Sus scrofa: one gene and its partner. The protein of the gene in region 1 purifies or fractionates together with the protein of each later gene. This does not show direct contact. Links are inferred from orthologs where the notes say so. Each region holds a gene or a part of one and is shown in the gene's direction. Other genes may lie near its edges.

The links.
Region 2: the proteins of ADRB2 (region 1) and USP33 purify together in Homo sapiens (affinity purification with western blotting; 3 studies listed by BioGRID and IntAct, with this or other methods). This does not show direct contact. The link is inferred for Sus scrofa from reciprocal best matches to the Homo sapiens genes ADRB2 and USP33.

Annotation. Positions count from the first base shown.
Region 1 is NC_010444.4:150,026,743-150,038,290, forward strand, and holds ADRB2 (beta-2 adrenergic receptor), read left to right. Parts: upstream 1-5,906; 5' UTR 5,907-6,565; intron 6,566-6,820; 5' UTR 6,821-7,053; coding exon 7,054-8,310; 3' UTR 8,311-8,849; downstream 8,850-11,548. UniProt on the Homo sapiens protein: Beta-adrenergic receptors mediate the catecholamine-induced activation of adenylate cyclase through the action of G proteins. The beta-2-adrenergic receptor binds epinephrine with an approximately 30-fold greater affinity than it does norepinephrine.
Region 2 is NC_010448.4:135,583,592-135,594,396, forward strand, and holds the end of USP33 (ubiquitin carboxyl-terminal hydrolase 33), read left to right. Parts: intron 1-1,554; coding exon 1,555-1,657; intron 1,658-4,180; coding exon 4,181-4,249; intron 4,250-4,951; coding exon 4,952-5,109; 3' UTR 5,110-6,151; downstream 6,152-10,805. UniProt on the Homo sapiens protein: Deubiquitinating enzyme involved in various processes such as centrosome duplication, cellular migration and beta-2 adrenergic receptor/ADRB2 recycling.

The DNA of each region.
Region 1 (11,548 bases):
TCAAGGAAAATCTTGGGGAAGAGAGAAGAGACTTGTTTGAATGGCCTCAAGGGGGTAGATTTAAGGTCCATGTGTAGAAGCTCTAAGAAAATGGATTTCCGTTCGATATCTGGATAGTTGGAAAAACACACGCTGATGGAAGGAGCTGGTGAGCCTGCCTTTGTTAAGGATGGCTGCCAGAGGGTGTGCGGACGCCCTGGGTAAAGAGCTGACTAGGCTGTGATGCACTTCATTCAAAACCCACTAACATCATACCCAGCTGCATAACTCAATGACGATGGTCATTTTCAGAATCAGTCTTCTTTCTAAGGAACCAAGTTTTGTTCCTTTCTGAATTCTTTTTCATAAAAATTCAAATTAAAAATAAATGACTCAATTATTTGGGAATTCTGTAGTGGCTTGGCAGTTAAGAATCTGGCATGACCACTGCTGTGGTACAGGTTTGATCCCTAGCCTGGGGAACTTCCACATGCCATAGTGTGGCCAATAAACAAATAACTCCTTATTTACATTCAAAGTGTCCTTTCACACTGTGATCTGACAAGACATATGCATTCTATACATACATTTTAATTAAAAAATAAGATTTCAGTAATAGCTATTTTCCAAGGCAGCACGCTAAGTTTTTCCTGCATTTAATCTCATTTAAAGCAAAGTTAATGAGATGATACCATACAGAACTAATATTAAAGACAGACATTTGAGACCATCATTTAGGAAAAAATCTATAGGAGCTCCTCTGCTTAAAGGATGGCAAAGATGCAGGGACTCCTGAGGACTGAGGTCAACTCTTTAACCCATTTTGAGTTAGTTCCCATGTATCGTACGAGACAGTGGTCTAGTTTCACTCTTTTGTGTGTGGCTGTCCGGTTTTCTCAAAACCGCTTACTGAAGAGACTGCTCTTTCCCTACTAGGTATTCCTGCCTACCTGGTCATAAATTAACCGGCCATCTAAGCACAGGTTTATTTCCGGGTTCTCTAGCCTGTTCCATTCATCTATACGTCTGTTTTGAAAACTATAGCCTTGTAATGCAGTTTCCAAGGAGCATGGAGCAAAATCCAGATCTGTTTTTCTTCCTCAAGACTGATTTGACTACTTGGTGTTTTTTGTGGTTCCAAATAAATTTTAGGATGGTTTACTGTACGTCTGTGAAAAGCACTGATAGGGACTGCAGTGAATCTGAAGCTTGTCTTGGGTACTGTGAACATTTTGACGACATGAATTCTTCCGTGGCATAAGCCCAGGATATTTTCCATTTCTGTGTGCCTTCTTGAATTTTTCATCAATGACAGCATTTTCAGAGTACAAGTCTTTCACCTCCATAGTTAAATTTATTCCTAGGTATCTTACTCTTTTTTGACACAGTTGTAGACAGGATTTTTTTAACTTTTCCCTCTGATAGTCTGTTGTCAAGTATATAGAAATGCAACGATTTTTGTATATCATTTTGTACCCTGCTACTTAACTGAATTCATTTATTCTAACAGTTTGTTGGTGGCATCTTTAAAGTTTTCTATGTAAAATTATGTCATCCATAAATGGAGACAGTTTTACTTCTTCCTTTCTGATGTAGGTACATTTTACTTCTTTTTCTGGCCTAATTGCTCTGACAAAGACTTCCAACACCACACTGAATAAAAGTGGGGAGAGTGGACACCCCCGTCATCGTATTTCTGATCTGAGGGGAAAAGCATGGAGTATGATATTTTCTCTGAGTTTGAATACATGGTCTTGGTTACGCTGAGGGACCGTCCCTCTACCCACTTTGCATAAAACCAGAAGAAAAGAGAGGCGGTAAACTACTTGACATGGATCTTGGCAATAAAGTTTTGGATCTGAATCCAAAAGCAGAGGCAACAAAAGCAAAAATGAACAAACAGAACTACACCAAACTTACTTCTGCAAGTTAAGGAAACAATTAACAAAATGAAAGACAAGCTACTGAATGGGAGAAAATGTTTGTAAATCATTTATCTGATAGGAGGTTAATATCAAAATTCTATAAAGAATTCATAAAACTCAATAGAAAATTAAAAAATTCTGATTTTTGAAAATGAACAGATGATCTGAATAGGTATTTTTCCAAAGACATATGGATGGCCAACAGACACATGAAAAGATGCTCATTATCACTAATCATCAGGTAAATGCAAATCAAAACCACAATGAGACATTACCTTACACACAGCAGAATGGCTATCATCAGAAAGACAGAAATAACACGTGCTGGTGAGGATGTGGAGGAAAGGCAACCCTGACGCACTCTTGGAGGGGAGGTAAGTTGGTGTTACCACTGTGGAAAAGTAGGAGCGTTTAGTTCCTCAAAAAATTAAAAACAGAACTACGATATGATCCAGCTATTTCACATCTGGGTATTTATCTGCAGGAAATTAAAGCACTAATGCAAAAAGATAAATGCATCCCCATATTCACTGCAGCATTATCTATAATACCCAAGATAAGGAAGCAACCTGAGTATACATTGGTAAATACACAGATAAAGGATATATATATTATATATACTATAAATATATTTATACACATGTAAATGGACTATCACTCCACCATAAAATGGAATGAAGTCTTGCCATTTGCGACAACATGGATTAACCGTAAGGGAATTATGCTAAGTGAAACATGTCAACGAGAGACAAAGGCTGTGTGAGTCTACTTACATATGAAATCTAAAAAAAACAATAAAAACCAAAATGACAGTCACAGATACAGAGAAGCCCATGGGGTCTGCCGGAGCAGGGGGAGATGGAGAGAGGATAAAATGGGTGCAGGGTCAAGAGGCACAAGCTCCCAATTTCAAGAGAAATGAGCCGGGGAGATGCAATGTGCGTCACACTGACCCTGGTCAGTAACACCGCAGAGCTGACTCCAAAGCTGCCAAGAGAGCAAACCCTGAGAGCTAACCATGATGCGTGGTGACGAACAGTAACTAGACGTAAGATGATCATTTCACCACCTATGCACACACATACTCAATCACTACGTTGCGCACCTGAAACCCATATAATGTTCCATGTCAATTATACCTCAACATACATTTTTTTTAAAAGATGAAAGGAATCTTGTCTCAGCCAAGACTGGGATAAGATTTTCCTAAGGCATCCAGATATTCATGTGAGAGCACTCCTTCGCTCACAGACTCTTACTCCTTTTCAGACATTTGTTTGGTAAATCAAGATTTTTTTTTTTTCTGTTTGCCAGGCAGGAAAAAACAAATGGTGTCTAAAGCGATGGACAGAATATGTAATTAGAGGGAGTTCCTGTCGTGGCACAGTGGTTAATGAATCCGACTAGGAACCATGAGGTTGAGGGTTCGATCCCTGGCCTTGCTCAGTGGGTTAAGGATCCGGCATTGCCATGAGCTGTGGTGTAGGTTGCAGACGCGGCTCGGATCCCGAGTTGCTGTGGCTGTGGTGCAGGCCGGCGTCTACAGCTCCGACTCGATCCCTAGCCTGGGAACCTCCACATGCTGCAGGAGCGGCCCTAGAAAAGACCAAAAAAAAAAAAAAAAAAAGTATGTAATTAGACACTATCGATCACCATAATAGAGCCTGCTTTGTCATGTCAGATGCAGGTGTCTTTGGTCTACAAAGAACTTTCCAGTTCAACTAAAGCTGTGCCCAAAACGCTGTGCTCGTCACAGTCTTCTGCGGGGGAATGAAGACGTGATGGTGGGCAGTGAAAACATGTGAGGCCAGGAAGCGAGCTAGACTCCCTCTTCTCTGCTGCCTCCAACCAGGCACTTCTGGCTCCTGCACTTTAGTCCCTCACTTGCAAACTGGAGGAGCAGGAGGAATAAAGTAAAGGGTCTAGTAAATTCTCTGCTGCTCCAACTATCTCTAAGCCTACAACTCTAAAAGAAGGTCGGGAAAAGACTCGGTGATGCGGGGAAGACAAAGGGGAACAGAATGAGAAGGGAAGGTACTGTCCCTTTGGCGGGGCTGGTGGGGCAAAGGTCTGGAATGGTGCTGATGTAAGCCAAGCCGTCTTCCCTTCTAGAGTTAGAGTTTGTGGCTTTTTTCAAAGGTGTTTCCCAAAATATTCAAAGTTAAATTTTTAATGACTTATGTGTATGCCTAAATGATCCATGAGGTTTGTTCTAAAAGGACTCTCTTTTTTCTTTTTTGGTTATAAGAGAGTTAAACAATATGCTTATTTATTGCACAGCATCACAAATAGGACAGAAGCTTTAAATGGCTCAGTTCTACAATTCCAGAGAAGACATGTATTTAAAGAAATGTTGCATAACAAACAAGGCCTCTTCCTAAAATGCATCCTGCCAGAGCCAATTTTGGAAAACACAAATATGGGACGGGTGTATTTTGAAAATTATGTGAGCATAATAGATCCTTAATTAATATCTGTGGCTTTTATGGGAAATATTTGTGTTTTAAGGCATTTGTCATGCAAAAACAATTTCTGCTAGTGAAGGAAGTTAAACAGGGCATGTGGTTTTGCTTCTGAGTTCTGGAGTAAATGCCCAAGTCCTTTTGTCCTAAAGTACTTCAGTGTCCACTAGTGAACACTAACAACATATTCTGGACTATTCAGTAATTTATATCAATCTCATTTATAACCCTACTTGAGTGAAGTTTTTACTTGCAAAAGCACTATCTCATTTATCATTACATCATTTGGTTCTCATTTAGCTCAAAAGAAGCAACTTTATTGCACATTTAGACATAGAGGAAATTAGGCTCCAGATTTTGGATTTGCCTAAGGAATGTGAGCTAGAAAGAAACTGGAATGCAGTATTCCAATTCCAGTTGTAATCCTTCTCTACCCTCCACTCTGTTCTGCACATGGTAAAGCAGTACATTGAAAGGATTAAAAAAGAGATTTTAGAATCAGGGAGAACTGGGTTCAGCTCCTGCCTGGCATTGCCAGGCTGTGCCTGTGGGCAAGCTATTCTCCTCTTCCAGCCCCCTTTGTGAATTAAATTAAAAATAACTATCCGCCCCACCCACCCCAGCACACACACCACCAGGCGACTGTGGGAAGGATGAAATGGAATAATGCATGAAAAGCACATAGCAGAATGTTTCATAAATGTTAGCCATTGTTAAGTTATTATGTAATCTAGAAAATATGTTTGGTTACACTGAGTGAAACACTTTCAGTTCTTCAAAGACACTACTAATACATGTAAAAATCAAACCCTGAAAATTAATTTCTTTTTAACAGTGAAGTCACATGCCAGATGCAAAGGCTAATATTTCATGGAAAATGACCTCGTCTGAAGCTTGGTCTGACTTTTTTAAGAAAAAATACCTTTTCCTTTCTGTGGTTTCAAACCTTTTTTTTTTTTTTTTTTTTTTTTTTTTTTTGTCATTTTGCCATTTCTTGGGCTGCACCTGCGGCATATGGAGGTTCCCAGGTTAGGGGTCTAATCGGAGCTGTAGCTGCCAGCCTACACCAGAGCCACAGCAACGCTGGATCTGAGCCACATCTGCGACCCACACCACAGCTCATGGCAACACCGGATCGTTAACCCACTGAGCAAGGCCAGGGATGGAACCCGCGACCTCATGGTTCCTAGTCGGATTCGTTAACCACTGCGCCACGACGGGAACGCCTCAAAACATTTTTAATGTTACACATTCTTAGTAATGTGAACCATAATAAATTGCCATGTTTTAGAAGCAGAGATTATAGAATAGCAGCAATTTCATATGGCTCGGATCACCAAACTACCCAGCAGATGATTTTTCTAGTTGCCCAGGCATGAATGAAGTAGAGCTTCAAAGAAAAATTATTCTATTTTCAGTACATTTTCACTTGAACAGATAATGAAGGAGTGATGCCACACTCACTAGAATTAAAATTAAAGCATACAACTTTCTCTTTCTGTCCCCAAACACACGCATGGATAGCCCAGGTCTGAATGAAATCCCAAGCGTAAAAGCCTGTCTCAGTGCCTGCAGATTCCCAAGGAGAGCACCGAAAGTCCTTGACAGCGAGCGAGCTGAGGAAATGGGCAGCTGCTGAAGTCACCTCCTGAGGTCTCGCCAAATGTTTGAAAGGGAATATGCGAAATGTCCGCATGCTGGGGAGGAAAGGACGGAGATCCAGGGTGCCGGAGAAGGGTTTGTAGAACATGGGTGGGGACGTCCTTGGCTGTGACTCCCGGCTTGCCTCCACGTGGCCCTTAGTGTGTTGTTTACTTCTTTTCGTGTGTGCCTATGACTTTGTGGTTCTGGGTGCTGCTGGGTTTGTTCCTGACCACGTCTCTGCGTTAGTTAAGGTTGACTTTGCGCCGATTTGCTTGTGTGTGTGTGTGTGTCCGTGCGCGCACGCGCGTGTGCTTGTCGGTGTGCTGGATGGGTGTGTCTGCGTGTCGGTGGCTGTGGCTCCGTCTAAGTCCGTGCACGTCTGCCAGGTGAATTGTGCCTGTCCGTGCGTGTCCTGGCGGGCACTCTCATTCTCGTCTATTTCCGAATAGGAGGGAGTGCCTGCGCACTACCCTCTGCCCAGGGTCCTCAGGCCTCACGACAAGCCCGGGCAGGCAGGTAGCAGCCACAGAAGACTGCGCAGCTCCCAGCTCGCTGGTAAGCGGCACCCCCCAACTTCAGCTTCAGCCCTGGGGCCAGCCTGGGTAGCCTGGAGGGAGTGGCGACCGGCCGGCAGGGAGCAGCGGGGCCCCGCCCGGGCCAGCCCCAGGAGGAGGCGGGAGAGGGAGGGAAGGGGCGGGGGGGGGGGGGGGGGCCTCGCCCCTTTGGGGCTTCCCGCGCGCCATTGGTCCCAAGTTGGAGCACGTCACGGGGAGGGCAGTTCCCCTCAAGTCCTGTGCACATAACGGGCAGCGCGCACTCCGAGGCGGCTTCTCCGGAGCGCAGGCAGAGACCCGCCGGCACTGCGAGCCTCGAGCACCCCGGGAGCTGAGTGCACCACGCGCCCCCTCCACACCCACCCCACGGCCGCTGAATGAGGCTTCTAGGCGCCCGCTCGCTGCCCGCAGCCCCCCGCCGGAGGTCGGCCCGCTGAGGCGCGGCGGGTGCGCCGGCTGCCAGCGCGCTCACCTGCCCGCCTGCGCGCCATGGGGCAGCCCGGGAACCGCAGCGTCTTCTTGCTGGCGCCCAACGGAAGCCATGCGCCGGACCAGGACGTCCCACAGGAGCGGAACGAGGCATGGGTGGTGGGCATGGCCATCGTCATGTCGCTCATTGTCCTGGCCATCGTGTTTGGAAACGTGCTGGTCATCACAGCCATCGCCAAGTTCGAGCGTCTCCAGACGGTCACCAACTACTTCATCACCTCCCTGGCCTGTGCTGACTTGGTCATGGGCCTGGCGGTGGTGCCCTTTGGGGCCAGCCACATCCTCATGAAAATGTGGACTTTCGGCAGTTTCTGGTGCGAGTTTTGGATTTCCATTGACGTGCTGTGCGTCACGGCCAGCATTGAGACCCTGTGCGTGATCGCCGTGGATCGCTACCTTGCCATCACGTCCCCCTTCAAGTACCAGTGCCTGCTGACCAAGAACAAGGCCCGGGTGGTCATTCTGATGGTGTGGGTCGTGTCGGGCCTTATCTCCTTCTTACCCATTAAGATGCACTGGTACCAGGCCACCCACCGGGAAGCCTTAAACTGCTATGCAGAGGAGGCCTGCTGCGACTTCTTCACCAACCAGCCTTACGCCATCGCCTCTTCCATCGTGTCCTTCTACCTGCCCCTGGTAGTCATGGTCTTCGTCTACTCCAGGGTCTTTCAAGTAGCCAGAAGGCAGCTCCAGAAGATCGACAAGTCTGAGGGCCGCTTCCACGCCCAGAACCTCAGCCAAGCGGAGCAGGATGGGCGGAGCGGGCCGGGACATCGGAGGTCCTCCAAGTTCTGCTTGAAGGAACACAAAGCCCTCAAGACGCTAGGGATCATCATGGGGACGTTCACCCTGTGCTGGCTGCCCTTCTTCATCGTCAACATTGTGCACGGGATCCATGACAACCTCATCCCCAAGGAAGTTTACATCCTGCTAAACTGGGTGGGCTACGTCAACTCGGCGTTCAACCCCCTCATCTACTGCCGGAGTCCAGATTTCAGGATGGCCTTCCAGGAGCTTCTGTGCCTGCACAGGTCTTCCCTGAAGGCCTATGGGAACGGCTGCTCCAGCAACAGCAACGGTAGGACTGACTACACAGGGGAACAGAGTGGCTGTTACCTGGGGGAGGAGAAAGACAGCGAACGGCTGTGTGAGGAGCCCCCAGGCCCGGAAGGCTGTGCACACCGGCAAGGTACTGTGCCCGATGATAGCACTGATTCACAGGGGAGGAACTGTAGTACAAATGACTCCATGCTGTGATGCAGGTGTCTACTTTCTAAGCGCCCCTTTCCCTCCCAGCCAAACACTAAACAACTCGAGTGTGATGAATTTAGAATGAACGTCTATAGAGATGTGCAGGAGGAGGAACATCCTTCTGCCTTTTTATTTTTTATTTTTTTAAGTTGTAAAAAAGAGAAAACATTATTTGAGTGATTGTTTCTTGTACAGTTCAGTTCCTCTTTGCATGGAACTTGTGTAAGTTTATGTCTGCAGGCCTTCGGTCCCAGAGGACGTGGGGCTGGTATGTTTTGATGACTTTTCCGCATATCTACCTCATTGATCAAGTATTAGGGGTAATATATTGCTGCTGGCAATTTGTTTCTGAAGGAGACCTTCCTTCCTGCACCCTTGGACTGGAGGATCTTGAGTCTCTCGGACCTTTCAGCTGTGAACATGGACTCTCTCCACCCCTCTTATTTGCTCAAACGGGGTGTTGTAGGCAGGGATTTGAGGGGCAGCTTTGGTTGTTTTCCTGAGCAAAGTCTAAAGTTTACAGTAAATAAATTGTTTGACCATGACTTCATTGCACCTGTTTCTCCAAAACCCCTTGACTGGAGTGTGGTTCCTCCCCCACTGGAAACCGCAGGTAACTATTTATAATAAGTGCCCAGTGACTTAATGTGGAATGACACAGGAATGACATGCACTGATTGCTTAACCCTTTTGTTTGCCTTTGAATCTGCGGCTGCAAACCTGTCTCTCTCCTACTGCTGATGTCCCCCTAGCAGTCTGTCCGCTCCCAGCGTAGTTCATCTCGCTCTTCCTATGCAGTGTTCTGTGTCGTTACATCAGAAACACTGACTCATAGGAACAGAGTTATGTCCCTCTGTGTGCCCTCACCACCCACCTTTCAGTTCTGCTGGTTTCTGCTTGTTTTTATCTTTACCGTGTCTTAGGGTAGAGATCTTTGTAGTACACCAGGGCTTGGCATTTTAAGGATAAGGAAGTTCTTGTGAAAATACTCAAAGCCTGGTAACTCCAAGGGAAATAAAAAGGCCATGGGATGTAGGGGGAAAGCTGGAGAACACTTAACTGGTGAACAGCTCATGACCGAGAAACAGGGTTGAACCCTCCTTCTCTGTCCTGCTGTGCGTCCTGTCCCCCCTTCCCCGACTCTAGTCTCCAGTATAAATCCAGATTTATCAACCTCACAAGATTAACATTTTCAGCTAATAATTCTAATAATTCTCCAATGTTGAGGGCTGTCCTATACATCGCCAGGTGTCCAGCAGCATCCCTGGCCTCTTCCCACTAGACGCCAGGAACACCTCCTGAGTTGTGAAAACCAAAAATGTCTGCAGACATTTCCTAATACCCCTCCCTTAAGGAATGAAATTTCCCCTGGTTGAGAACCTCAGTTTTAAACTTCAAAAATCTAAACAGATTTTTAGATTCTGCCTAATGTAACCACTTTATTTTGCAGGGCGTCAGAGAGGGATTTTTTTCGCCATTAACCCAGACCCCAGGGCAATGTTCTTCCCCTCCTTCCAAGCCTACTCCCCTGCTGCCCAGACACGGACGGGGAGACTGAGCTGCTGGGGAGGGTTTATCCATGAAGGCAAGGCCCATGAGCCGCGACTGCCTGTTTGTGGAGAGACGATCATACTGTCAAGAGGCAGTAAGGGAAAATCACAAAAGTAAACACATTTCTTCTCCCACCCCTTTCTATTTTTGCCTGGGTGTCTGAGCCAGCGCTTGGCCCAGGTTTGACCGAGTAGATCGTCCTCCTTGGCAACGCCAGCCTGGAGAGATCAACCTGCAGGTTCACTGCCACTTCACACTCTCATGAAGCTGACTCCACTTCTTTCTTCCCTTCCCTTCCCTTCCCACCCAAGGTCTCCGACCAGAAAAGCATGTGTCTTCTCTACTTCCTCTCAGTGCAGTGATGGGGTGTCTGGATGAGTACTGAGCTCTCAGGAGAAAGTTGGGAGCCTGTTTTTCTAGAATATGCCTCCACACATTGGAGAGTGTGCCGTTCAGCACTTCTGCTTTTTCTCCAAGGGCTTTCATACCCATTATCACATGCTTCCCCTGCTCTGGGCCCTACACTCAGAGATGCAGGCAACTTCTCCAGCTAATCTTCACACTCCTCATAGGCTCAGGGGATCTCAGACTTGGAAGAGAAAGCACAGAAAGCATCTGACATCCAAAGAGAAGGGGGAAGATCAGCCCAAGGTAAGAAGCCAAGGATGTCAGAGTCAGGGCTAATGCCAGGCAACCCAGCTGTCGTGCCCAGAATTGGTGTATTCTCTCTACCACATTATCATGGGATTCTGCCCTCACTCTCAATCGCGGAAGCTTTTCCTTGGGACTGGCACATTAACCAATTCATTTCTGCAGATGTTAACATTTCTTTCAGGTCCGTAATACAAAACACAGGCAATAAACAAATAATGTGCAGTAGGGACAAGAGAATCATTCCTTTTTCTCAGCATTTAGGGAAACTGGGAGATTCCTTAACTCTTTATGACCTGCCAGAAATTTCAAGCCATTCCAGGTAGAAATTTACCATAGGCTTATTTTAAAAAAAGGTTGGAAACCTTACCATCATCATGTCTAACTCCCATGGACAATAATACATACATACTCTTTTGGTTAGAGGATTATCTAATGTAGTTTTAATTAAAAACTCAGCTATGACGTTACTTCATAAACTTCCAGCTAAAAGGGAGTTTTAGCCTAATTCATGTCTGTTTGGGAATACTTTAAATACAAGAACTCTGATCAGTTTTAAGGGTTTTGACAATCAGGAGCCTTTAAGGCCTATCTCAGTTGCTTGCTTTCCATCTCCTTTCATCCCGTTTTGTTTCTTTTGGGGAGTGGGCATTTGCCAGCATCTGTCCCTGTTTACTGACAGGTTGGTTACGTAAGGTGTGTGTTGGATGCATCATCATAAAGTTGTCTTTGCCTGGACAGCAAGTTCTTGGAGTCTGTCAAGTGAGAACTTTATCCTGAGATGCAAGCTGACAGATGTGCAAAGTGGCAGAACAGGGTGGGCCTCCTCACTGAGATCATTACTGGCAGAAGGGTCCTGGGGGAAAGGGAGCTGGGAAGTAGGACCTGTCGTTAAATGATGCTTAGAATGTTTCTGATGCACCTCCTACCAAGAGAAGCTTGACCAGAATCCGCCAGGAGTTATTTACAACTACTGTGTGCAGCAGGAGAAAAATACCGGTTTCAATCTCTGATTTCTGGAGCATAATACTAGTAATACTAC
Region 2 (10,805 bases), on another chromosome or scaffold:
CTCTTTGATTCTAGGATAACAAGTGAATAAATGAGGGGGAAAGTATTAGAATATGATGTCCAATCTTGGGGCCAGATCGTGGAGGTAATTCTGGGCTGTTAACAAACTCTAAACTTTGTTAACTTTGTTAAGTTAACAAACTACTATTGTACCAAGGGATCTTGGTACAATAGTAGAGTTTGGATTAGATTTGATTATGGGAGAGAAATGATTGGAACTTAGTTGCCTTTGTCTGTAGGTAGTATGTACCGTGGGCATTTTAATTACCCATCATGGCATTGTTTCAGGAGTCTCACTTTCTTTTCACAGTATTACAATTAGATAATTTTCAGATACTCTTTTTTTGTTTTTTTTTTTGCTTTTTTTAGGACTGCACCTGAGGCATATGGAAGTTCTCAGTCTAGGGGTTGAATCATAGCTGTAGCTGCTGGCCTATGTCACAGCCACAGCAACGTGTGATGCTAGCCGTGTCTGCGACCTACACCACAGCTCATGGCAATGCTGGATCCTTAACCCACTGAGCGAGGCCAGGAATTGAACCTATATCCTCATGGTTCCTAGTTGGGTTTGTTAACCACTGAGCCACAAAGGAAACTCCCTTCACATACTCTTCATTTTCCTCAGGCTCCATTACTGTTTCTCTCTATATATACATATATCAATTTTTTAATCAATTTGGTTCCTTTAGTTGAAAGTAGTAGAAGTCAGATTGACTAATTTAAACAAAAAAGGAAATTTATTGAAAAGAAAAATTGAATAACCAAACTTTCACAAGTTCAGGAACCATGAGTATTCCAGTATAGCCAACAAATTGACATTGGAATTACTCCATTCCAATCATTAGTTTACTCCTCTGAAGATTTCCATTTCTAGTAGTTAGCCTAGATTAAGTCACATACCCATTCTTTGGGCCTTATGACTAGAGGAGAGAATGGAACATCCTCAAAGACTATCCCACTGGAGTTCCTTTGCGGCACAGCGGGTTAAGGATCCAGTGGGTTGTTGCTGCTATGGCACAGGTTCAATCTCTGGCCCAGGAATTTTCACATACCATGGGCACAGCCAAAAGAATAAAAAAAAAAAAAAGGACTGTCCCACTGCTTTTGAGAATTTATTCTATATATGTCTATTATCTGTGAAATGATATGTACAAGATTATTCATTGCAACATTATAATAGCAACATGGCCACCAATATCTTAAGTGAATAGAAGTAAGATGTAGACAGTGGGTATAGTATATTTAAATAAGAATTATACATCAGATTTTTAATAAATGTGTGCAGTATTTATTGTTGTGAAGACTTTACCCTGACCGTTTTCATTTATCTAATATTTTATGCCCCTTTTGTGTGTACTAAATTTTAAGTTATAACTTAGAATTGTTTAATAGGTGTTACCCTGTATCCTAGTATCAACATAACTTAGCATCAATGTACATCTGTTGTGTTCTTTGTGAGGAATTGGCCTTACCAGATGCGGAAGTATAGAATGGTTGTATTGTTTTACTACAAAGCAAATTCTAGACTTTAGATAACTGATTTTCCCCCCTATAGCTCAACAGAGCATTCCAAGAGGAGGACTCGCCAGCTACTTTTTATTGCATCAGTATGCAGTGGTTTAGAGAATGGGAAAGTTTTGTGAAGGGTAAAGATGGAGGTAAGTATTTAAAAGAATTTTTTTTTTGCAGATTTTTTGTTTATTTGACAAATGTTTCTTGAATATCTCTGTGCACTTGCGATTATACTAATGAGCAAGAGAGAAAAAGGTTCCTGCCCTCAAGGATTGTACATTCTGGTTTATCTGTTTTGGTTATTTTTATTTTTTATTTGTTTATGTATTTACTTTTTTTTTGGCCATGAATGTGGCATGTGGAAGTTCCCAAGACAGGGATACAACCTGTACCACAGCAGCACCTTGAGCCATAGCAGTGACTATACCAGATCCTAAACCTGCTGAGTCACCAAGGAACTCCCTATTTTTAATTTTTTTTTAACTTTTTCATGAGTTACGGCATATCCATGGCAGGAATAAAATAACTGAATAAAATTAATCTGCAACCTTAACATTGAAAAAAATTTTAAAAAATCCTCCCAACAATAAGATTGGTTAGGAGTTCCCTGATGGCTCAGCAGGTTCATGATCTGGCATTGTCACTGCTGTGGTGCAGATTCCATCCTTGGTCCCGGAACTTCCCTGTGCTGTGGGTACAGCAAAAAATAAAATGAAGCATGCTTTTAAAAAATTAATGAGATTGGCTAAATTATTTTATCTGTTAAAATGGGATACTATGTGGGCTTTAAAAATAATTTGTGTAACTGTTTAATTTAAAAATAAGATGTTCTTTTTTTTTTTTTTGTCTTCTTGGGGCCGCACCTGTAGCATATGGAGGTTCCCAGGCTAGGGGTCGAATCAGAGCTGTAGCAGCTGGCCTATGCCAAAGTCACAGCAACGTCAGATCCCAGCCACATCTGCAACCTATACCACTCTTAGGGCAACGCCAGATCCTTAACCCACTGAGCAAGGCCAGGAATTGAACTTGTGTCCTCATGAATGCTAGTCAGGATCGTTTCCTCTGAGCCATGATGGAAACTCCTATTCTTGATTTATGAAAAGATTGTAATGCAGTATGTGTAGTTTGAACACTTTATATTAAAACAGAAAAAAGGCAACTGTATGCAAAGGCAGAAAGACCACAAAGATGATTAAAACAATTTGCTTATCTTTCTGTACTGAGATGATAGTATTTTTTTTCTTTCTTGTGCCTTTTTTTCCCCCAGTTTTTGATAATGAACATTCACTGTACTTTCAAAGGAAAGACAAATAAAGCTTTTTTCCTTATATTAAAAAAAAGATGGGAGTTCCCGTCGTGGCACAGTGGTTAAGGAATCTCACTAGGAACCATGAGGTTGCGGGTTCGGTCCCTGCCCTTGCTCAGTGGGTTAACGATCCGGCGTTGCCGTGAGCTGTGGTGTAGGTCCCAGACGCGGCTCGGAGCCCACGTTGCTGTGGCTGTGGCGTAGGCCGGTGGCTACAGCTCTGATTAGACCCCTAGCCTGGGAACCTCCATATGCCACGGGAGCGGCCCAAGAAAAGGCAAAAAGACAAAAAAAAAAAAAAAAGATGCATTTTAACATTTCATTTTACAATGCTTTTTATTGTTTTTAGTTTAATGACATTCTAAACTAATTGAAGAGTTGCATAATTTCTTTTTAAATTACAAAGGAATTATTCTTATTTAGCATAAAAAGTGCCTTTTAACCTGTAATCCCCAATGGACAGTTAAGAAATCATTTCTTTTTTGTGTGTGTGTGTGTGTGTGTGTGTCTTTTTGTCTTTTGTTGTTGTTGTTGCTATTTCTTGGGCCGCTCCCGCGGCATATGGAGGTTCCCAGGCTAGGGGTTGAATCGGAGCTGTAGCCGCCGGCCTACACCAGGGCCACAGCAACGCGGGATCCAAGCTGCGTCTGCAACCTACACCACAGCTCACGGCAACGCCGGATCGTTAACCCACTGAGCAAGGGCAGGGACCGAACCCGCAGCCTCATGGTTCCTAGTCGGATTCGTTAACCACTGCGCCACGACGGGAACTCCAAGAAATCATTTCTGTTACATTTTGGATGGTGAGTGAGAGGACTTCTCTCACCTTCTTTCCTGGTTCTGTTTTGGCAGAACTAAGACCCAAAAAGGAAGAAACTCAGAAGAATATGTTCAAGGGAATTCCTGCATAGCCCAGCAGGTTAAGACTAGTATCCATGAGAATGCAGGTTCGATGCCTGGCCTTGCTTAGTGAGTTAAGGATCTGGTGTTACTGTGGCTGTGGTGTAGGCCATCAGCTGCAGCTCTTCTTATTCGACTCCTAGCAGGAACTTCTATATGCTGCAGGTGGGGCCCTAAAAAATAAAAAAGCAATAAAAGAAGAATACAGTTAACTGACTATAAAAATCTAACTAAGGACTTTCCTGGTGGCCTAGTGGGTAAGAATCTGATATTGCTGCTGTGGCACGGCTTCCATCCCTGGACCAGGAACTTCTGCATGCTGTGGGCATGGCAAAAATGATAATACTCTGACTAAAAATAATCTGATTATACAGTTACATCTTTCAGTTATTTCAGGCACAGTTCTTGGTGCATTTCTTTAAAAAGTATACATTTTGATTATTTGTTTTTCCTTTTGACTTAGATCCTCCAGGTCCTATTGATAACACTAAAATTGCAATCACCAAATGTGGCAATGTCACACTTAGGCAAGGTAAGTTTGACTAATACTTAAGCCTTTATTTGTTAGTGATTTGTCACTGTCAAGAATATATCATGACTAGCCTCCTCTGCCACTTTTTTTACCCAGTTCAGTGATGTAATTCATATATGAAGTAGGATAGTGGAAAAATTGTCAGTGTTTAATTTTTATCTGAAGAAAGGTTTTAAGGCTGTTTATAGGGGCAAGGGAAAAGGATCTCCAACTTTTTTTTTTTTTTTTTTTTTGTCTTTTGTCTTTTTTAGGGCCGCTCCCATGGCATATAGGAGGTTCCTAGGCTAGGGGTTGAATCCGAGCTATAGCCACTGGCCTACGCCAGAGCCACAGCAGTGTGGGATCTGAGCCGCGTCTGCGACCTACACCACAGCTCATGGCATCGCTGGATCCTTAACCCACTGAGCGAGGCCAGGGATTGAACCCGCCACCTCATGGTTACTAGTCTACCTCATGGTTACTAGTCGGGCTCGTTAACCACTGAGCCATAACAGGAACTCCCAAGGATCTCTGACTTTTTAAGGCAGACCATAGTGTTGCAACTTGTGACAGTATGAGCTGGTAGTGTGAAGATTCATGTTCTCAAAGTTCTCAGTTACTATACTGGTACAAGATTTGTGCTGGGGGTACATTGTGAAGGTTTTTCCAATATGAATATGTAAGTTTGTAAATACTATTCTTTCTACATATATTTAATTTTAGGGGCAGATTCTGGTCAGATTTCTGAAGAAACGTGGAATTTTCTACAGTCTATATATGGTGGAGGGCCTGAAGTCATCCTGCGGCCTCCTGTTGTTCATGTTGATCCTGATGTCCTACAAGCAGAAGAAAAAATTGAAGTAGAAACTCGGTCTTTGTAATTTTGAGGGTATAGAGGTCTGATGAGAAATCATTCTCACATCTTCTGACATATAGTCATGCAAAAACATTCCTAAAAGCATGTTTATTTTCTTGATTTTTAATATTTTATCTTTTATTCCTTCTTACTGGGCATTTTGAAAGAATGTGTTCAAATGTATAGTATTCTACAGGTTGGTATATTTAATGGTAGATAACTTTCCGTAAAGTCTTTTGGTGTAATATTTTTGAAAGAGAAGGGGTAATTGTGATCATTTGGTAATGAGTTGGTTATCTTTGATATTTATACTACATATAAACCCATGAATCCTTTGTAGCTTTGTAAATACTTTTGCTTTGAAAACTTTTTCATTATCCTAAATGATCATAACTCTGACCAATCTTTTCAGTTCTTCAAAAACTTGATTTAATTGTATAGTTTTGACATGGCTTCTTATAATATAAAGAGCCTATTTTAAATTGAGAGTTGTAGTCAGAAAAATGTTAATTTCCTAAAGCTCAGGAAACTGTTAGGGTGTCAACTTCTTTTGCACTGCAGCATATAAACTAGCATATTAATATTTACAAGATGTCTTTTTGAATGTATCAAGGATGTATTTAGTTTGAGTGGAATTTGTGTCAGCAGATATTAGTAATTTATTGCCTCCTATACTGTAAAATATTAAATTTCAATTCCTATAACCCTGATTAGTAATCTTAATATCAGTAAAAAACTTAGAGTTAGTTTTAGGACACTTTGTTTTGAGAGCATGAAGTATAGACTGTCAATGAGATTGTTGATAAAGCTGAAGTCTAAGCCTCTTGCAAATGATTTTTTAAATGAAACCTGCATAAAGTCTTTTTGAATAATATAGTATGCACTGCTATTTGCTTGATTATGTGATGTCAAAAGTTTAACTATATTCCAAGTACAAAACTAAACTGGATTACTTTGAGAATGTTGAATAGCATTCACAGTGGCTTTGTTTTGGTTTGGGGCAGCTGCCACCAGCTAAAACAGCATTATTAAAATTAGTTCAATAAAAATGATTTAAAAATGTGTAATTTGGATGTTGTATTTATTTGATAGATATTGAGTGAAGGGTATAAAGTTTGTTAATATTAATATTGTCTTATTATTTCTTTTTTTTTTTTTCCTTTTTATAGCCACACGTGCAGCATATGGAAGTTCCCAGGCTAGGGATCAAAACAGAGCTTCAGCTGCCGACTTACACCACAGCTATAGCAACACCAGATCCTTGACCTACTGAGTGAGGCCGGGGATCACACCCACATCTTCATGGATACAAATTGGGTTCTTAACCTGCTGAGCCACAACAGGAATACCTTGTCTTACTATTTCTTAATCAGGAGTTCCAGTCGTGGCGCAGTGGTTAACGAATCCGACTAGGAACCATGAGGTTGCGGGTTCGGTCCCTGCCCTTGCTCAGTGGGTTAAGGATCCGGCGTTGCCGTGAGCTGTGGTGTAGGTTGCAGACGTGGCTCGGATCCCGAGTTGCTGTGGCTCTGGCGTAGGCCAGTGGCTACAGCTCCGATTTGACCCCTAGCCTGGGAACCTCCATATGCCGCGGGAGCGGCCCAAAGAAATAGCAAAAAGACAAAAAAAAAAAAACTATTTCTTAATCAGAAGGTATGCAAAATAAGCCACTTTGGTATGTAATGAAATGACGTGATCAGCCTTTAGAATCTATTGGAATTTTTTTTTTTTTAAATGTAGTTTTTAGTTTTCTTCTTTCCCCTGGTTATGCTATGATCCTCTTCAAGGACTAAAGGATGTTGCTGATCTGTCTTGAATCACCAGAGTTTAGTGCAATGCCTGGCATTTAGGAGATAATTTTAAAAGATTTGTATTTAATAGTGCTTACCATTTATTAAATATATATGTTCTCTCAGACACTCTGCTAAAGTGCTTCACTTATATTCAATCCTCATTATAACCCTATAACTTAGGTCAGGTGGTTTGCCCAAAGTCGTACAGCAAAAAAGGAGCAGATATGGGACTCCAACTAATGTCATTGTGAATGGATATCAGTGTTCTTATTCACCATGATATATTATCTCCCACTGAATTATTTTAAAACAGATTATAGTATTAGCCACATTCATTAAAAGCATCCTTCACTGGGATATATAATATGACAAAGAATACTGGCTTCTGAAAGTGTGTATGATTTTTTTACATCATAATCATCAAAATACATAACAAGGAGTTCCCGTCGTGGCGCAGTGGTTAACAAATCCGACTAGGAACCATGAGGTTGCGGGTTCGGTCCCTGCCTTGCTCAGTGGGTTAACGATCCGGCGTTGCCATGAGCTGTGGTGTAGGTTGCAGACGCGGCTCGGATCCCGCGTTGCTATGGCCCTGGCATAGGCCGGCGGCTACAGCTCCGATTAGACCCCTAGCCTGGGAACCTCCATATGCTGCGGGAGCGGCCTAAGAAAGGCAAAAAGACAACAAGACAAAAAAAAAAAAAAAAAACAATATAATAAGTAAAGAGTTAGTAGTCCCACAGAATCTCAGCTAAAAGTTGACATATGTGTTAACAGATATCGAATGAAAGATTTGGTTTCTCAGGATGATTTTCTTGGCAATAACTTAGCTGAGAAATAGGACAATTGCAGTTAAGGGGTAGATCCTGTGTATGTTGAGAGTACTACATTGATTTACAACATGAAGGTGATAAGGTTTGGACTCAGGAATCAATTTGCTTATATTCAAATCCTAGTAGCTGTATCACCTTACAGCTATGATTTGCAATGGCAATGAAAGTTCTCTGATCTCCAGTTTTTTTCATCTCTTAGAATGTTTCAGGTTGGGTTTTCCAGGAAGCAGATGCTGAGACGGAATTAGGAGTGCAGTTGATTTCTTGGGGAGTGACATCAGTAAAAGGAAATGGAAGGAAGCAGGATTGAACAAAACAAGTTATCAGATCATAATGCTGACCTGACAAAGTCTCTGTCAGCCCCGTGGAGCGAGCCAGAGCTAAGATCATCTGTTGGAGAAGACCTGTATTGGGCAGAAAAGACTAGGCTGACTAGTGTACCTGGAAAAAAGTGACTTCAGATTGACATTGGTGGGACTAACAGCAAGCACTCTCCTTCCTTCTGGATAGCGAGTGTTTTGTTTTTGTTTTTGTTTTGTCTAAGGGCCGTACCCATGGCCTATGGAGGTTCCCAGGCTAGGGTTGAATCAGAGCTGTAGCCGCTGGCCTACACCACAGCTCACAAAACGCTGGATCCTTTAACCCACTGAGCGAGGCCAGGAGTTGAGTCTGTGTTCTCATGGATGCTAGTCAGGTCTGTCAACCGCTCAGCCATGACAGGAACTCCCAGGAGTGCTTTCTTAAAGAGTGTACATGTCTGCCATACTTGATCATAGGATTATGATAATTATGTGATTACCACATTTATCATCCTTAACATAATTGATGTAATTCTTATAATTCTCTTATTCTCTTTCTTCATGTCTCAATGTGTATCTTTTAAGGACACATCTATGTAAGTAAGGAAGCTGCCAAAAATATTTAATCTGAATCAAATCATGGAGCAAGAGGGGAGATCAAGATAATTGTTTTAAAAAGGCACATTATAGGAGTTCCCATTGTGGCTCAGCAGGTTAAGAACTCAACTAGGATCCATAAGGATGTAGGTTCAATCCCTGGCCTCTCAGTGGGTTAAAGGATCTGGCATTGCCATGAGCTGTGGTGTAGGCCACAGATGCAGCTCAGATCTGCTGTGGCTGTGGCTGTGGCTGGCAACTATAGTAGCTCAATTCAACCCCTAGATTGGGAATTTCTGTATGCCGCAGGCGTGGCATTAAAAAAAAAAAAAAAGTGCATTATACAAAGCAGTTTTCCTGGTTTCTTCAAACAGTGTTATGGAAAAAAAAAGACATGAAGATTGAGAGAATATTACAACAAAATGTAATGTGTGATAACTTGATTGGATCTTGGATTGGAGGAAATAATTTATAAGGAGTGCTATTGGGACAGTTAGGGAAATTTGACTAGGGAGTTTATATTAGATAATAGTATTATATCAGTATTAAGTTTCTTGAGTGTGGATAACTACTGTATTGTGAGAGAATGACCTTGATAGGAAGTACATGGTAAAGTTTTTAGGGTTGAAGTCATGCTGTGTGAAATAAACATGTGAGAGAGAAAGCAAGGAAGAGTACAAGTGTGGCCAGTGTTAATCACTGGTGAATCAAACCCAAATCACAAGGTATCCCCTCACACCAGTCAGAGTGGCCATCACCAAAAAGACCATGATAACAAATATTGTTGAGGATGTGGAGAAAAGAGAAACTTCGGAGCTCCCCTTGTGGCTCAGTGATAACAAACCCGATTGGTATCCATGAGGATGTGGGTTCGATCCCTGGCCTCGCTCACTGGGTTAAGGATCCAGCAGTGCTGTGACCTGTGGTGTAGGTTACAGTCACGGCTTGGATCCCGAGTTGATGTGGTTGTGGCTCTTGATTCGACCCCTAGCTTGGAAACTTGTGTATGCTTTGGGTGTGGCCCTACAAAGCAAAGAGAAAAAAGAGATCGAACCCTCTTATACTATTGGTAGGAATGTGAATCCATGTAGCCACTATAAAAAATAGCATGGAGGTTTCTCCAAAAAAAAAAAAAAATACAAAAGCACTAATTTGAAAAGATACATGCACTCCAGTGTTCATCCAGCACTGTTTACAACCATCAAGACATGTGTAACCTAAGTGCTCAGTAACAGGTGGATAACAAAGATATGATGCATAAAATACACAAAGGAATACCACTCAGCCACAATGAAGAAGGAAATTTTGGGGAGTTCCTGGTGGCTCAGTGGAAACGAATCCCAACTAGCATCCATGAGGATGCAGGTTTGATCCCTGGCCTTGCTCAGTGGGTTGAGGATTTGGCATTGCCATGAGCAGTTGTGATGTAGGTCGCAGACACAGCTCAGATCTCATGTTGCTGTGGCTGTGGTGTAGGCCAGGGGCTACAACTCCAATTGGTTCCCTAGCCTGCGAACTTCCATGTGCTGCAGATCTGGCCCTAAAAAGCAAAAAAAAAAAAAAAAAAAAAAAGAAAGAAAAAGAAATTTTGATAATGGAAATAATAAGTCATTAAAAAATAAAAGATTGCTAGCCATTACAAAACCTCTATGTACTAATTAATTAGAAAAACCAACCTGTTAACAAGTAAAAGTTTCCAATAACCCGCCCCTCAAAAAAATGAATGAAATTTTGGCATTTGCAGCAACATGAATGGACCTGGAAGGTATTATGCTAAGTAAAATAAGTCAAAGACAAATACTGTATGATATCACTTATAGGTGGATTTTTAAAAATAGAAGTCAGTGGGAGTTCCCGTCGTGGCTCAGTGGTTAACGAATCCAACTAGGAATCATGAGGTTTGGGGTTCAATCCCTGGCCTTGCTCAGTGGGTTAAGGAGCCAGTGTTGCTGTGGCTCTGGTGTAGGCCGGCGGCTACAGCTCCAATTGAATCCCTAGCCTGGGAACCTCCATATGCCACGGGAGGGGTCCAAGAAATGGCAAAAAGGAAAAAAAAAAGAAAAAAAAAAGTCAGTGGATGTAACAAAAAAGAAGCAGACACACAGATATGGAGCACAAACTGGTGGTTACTAGTGAGTAAAGGGAAGGGGGCAGGAGCAATGTAGGGACCGGATTAAGAGATACAAACTATTGGAGTTC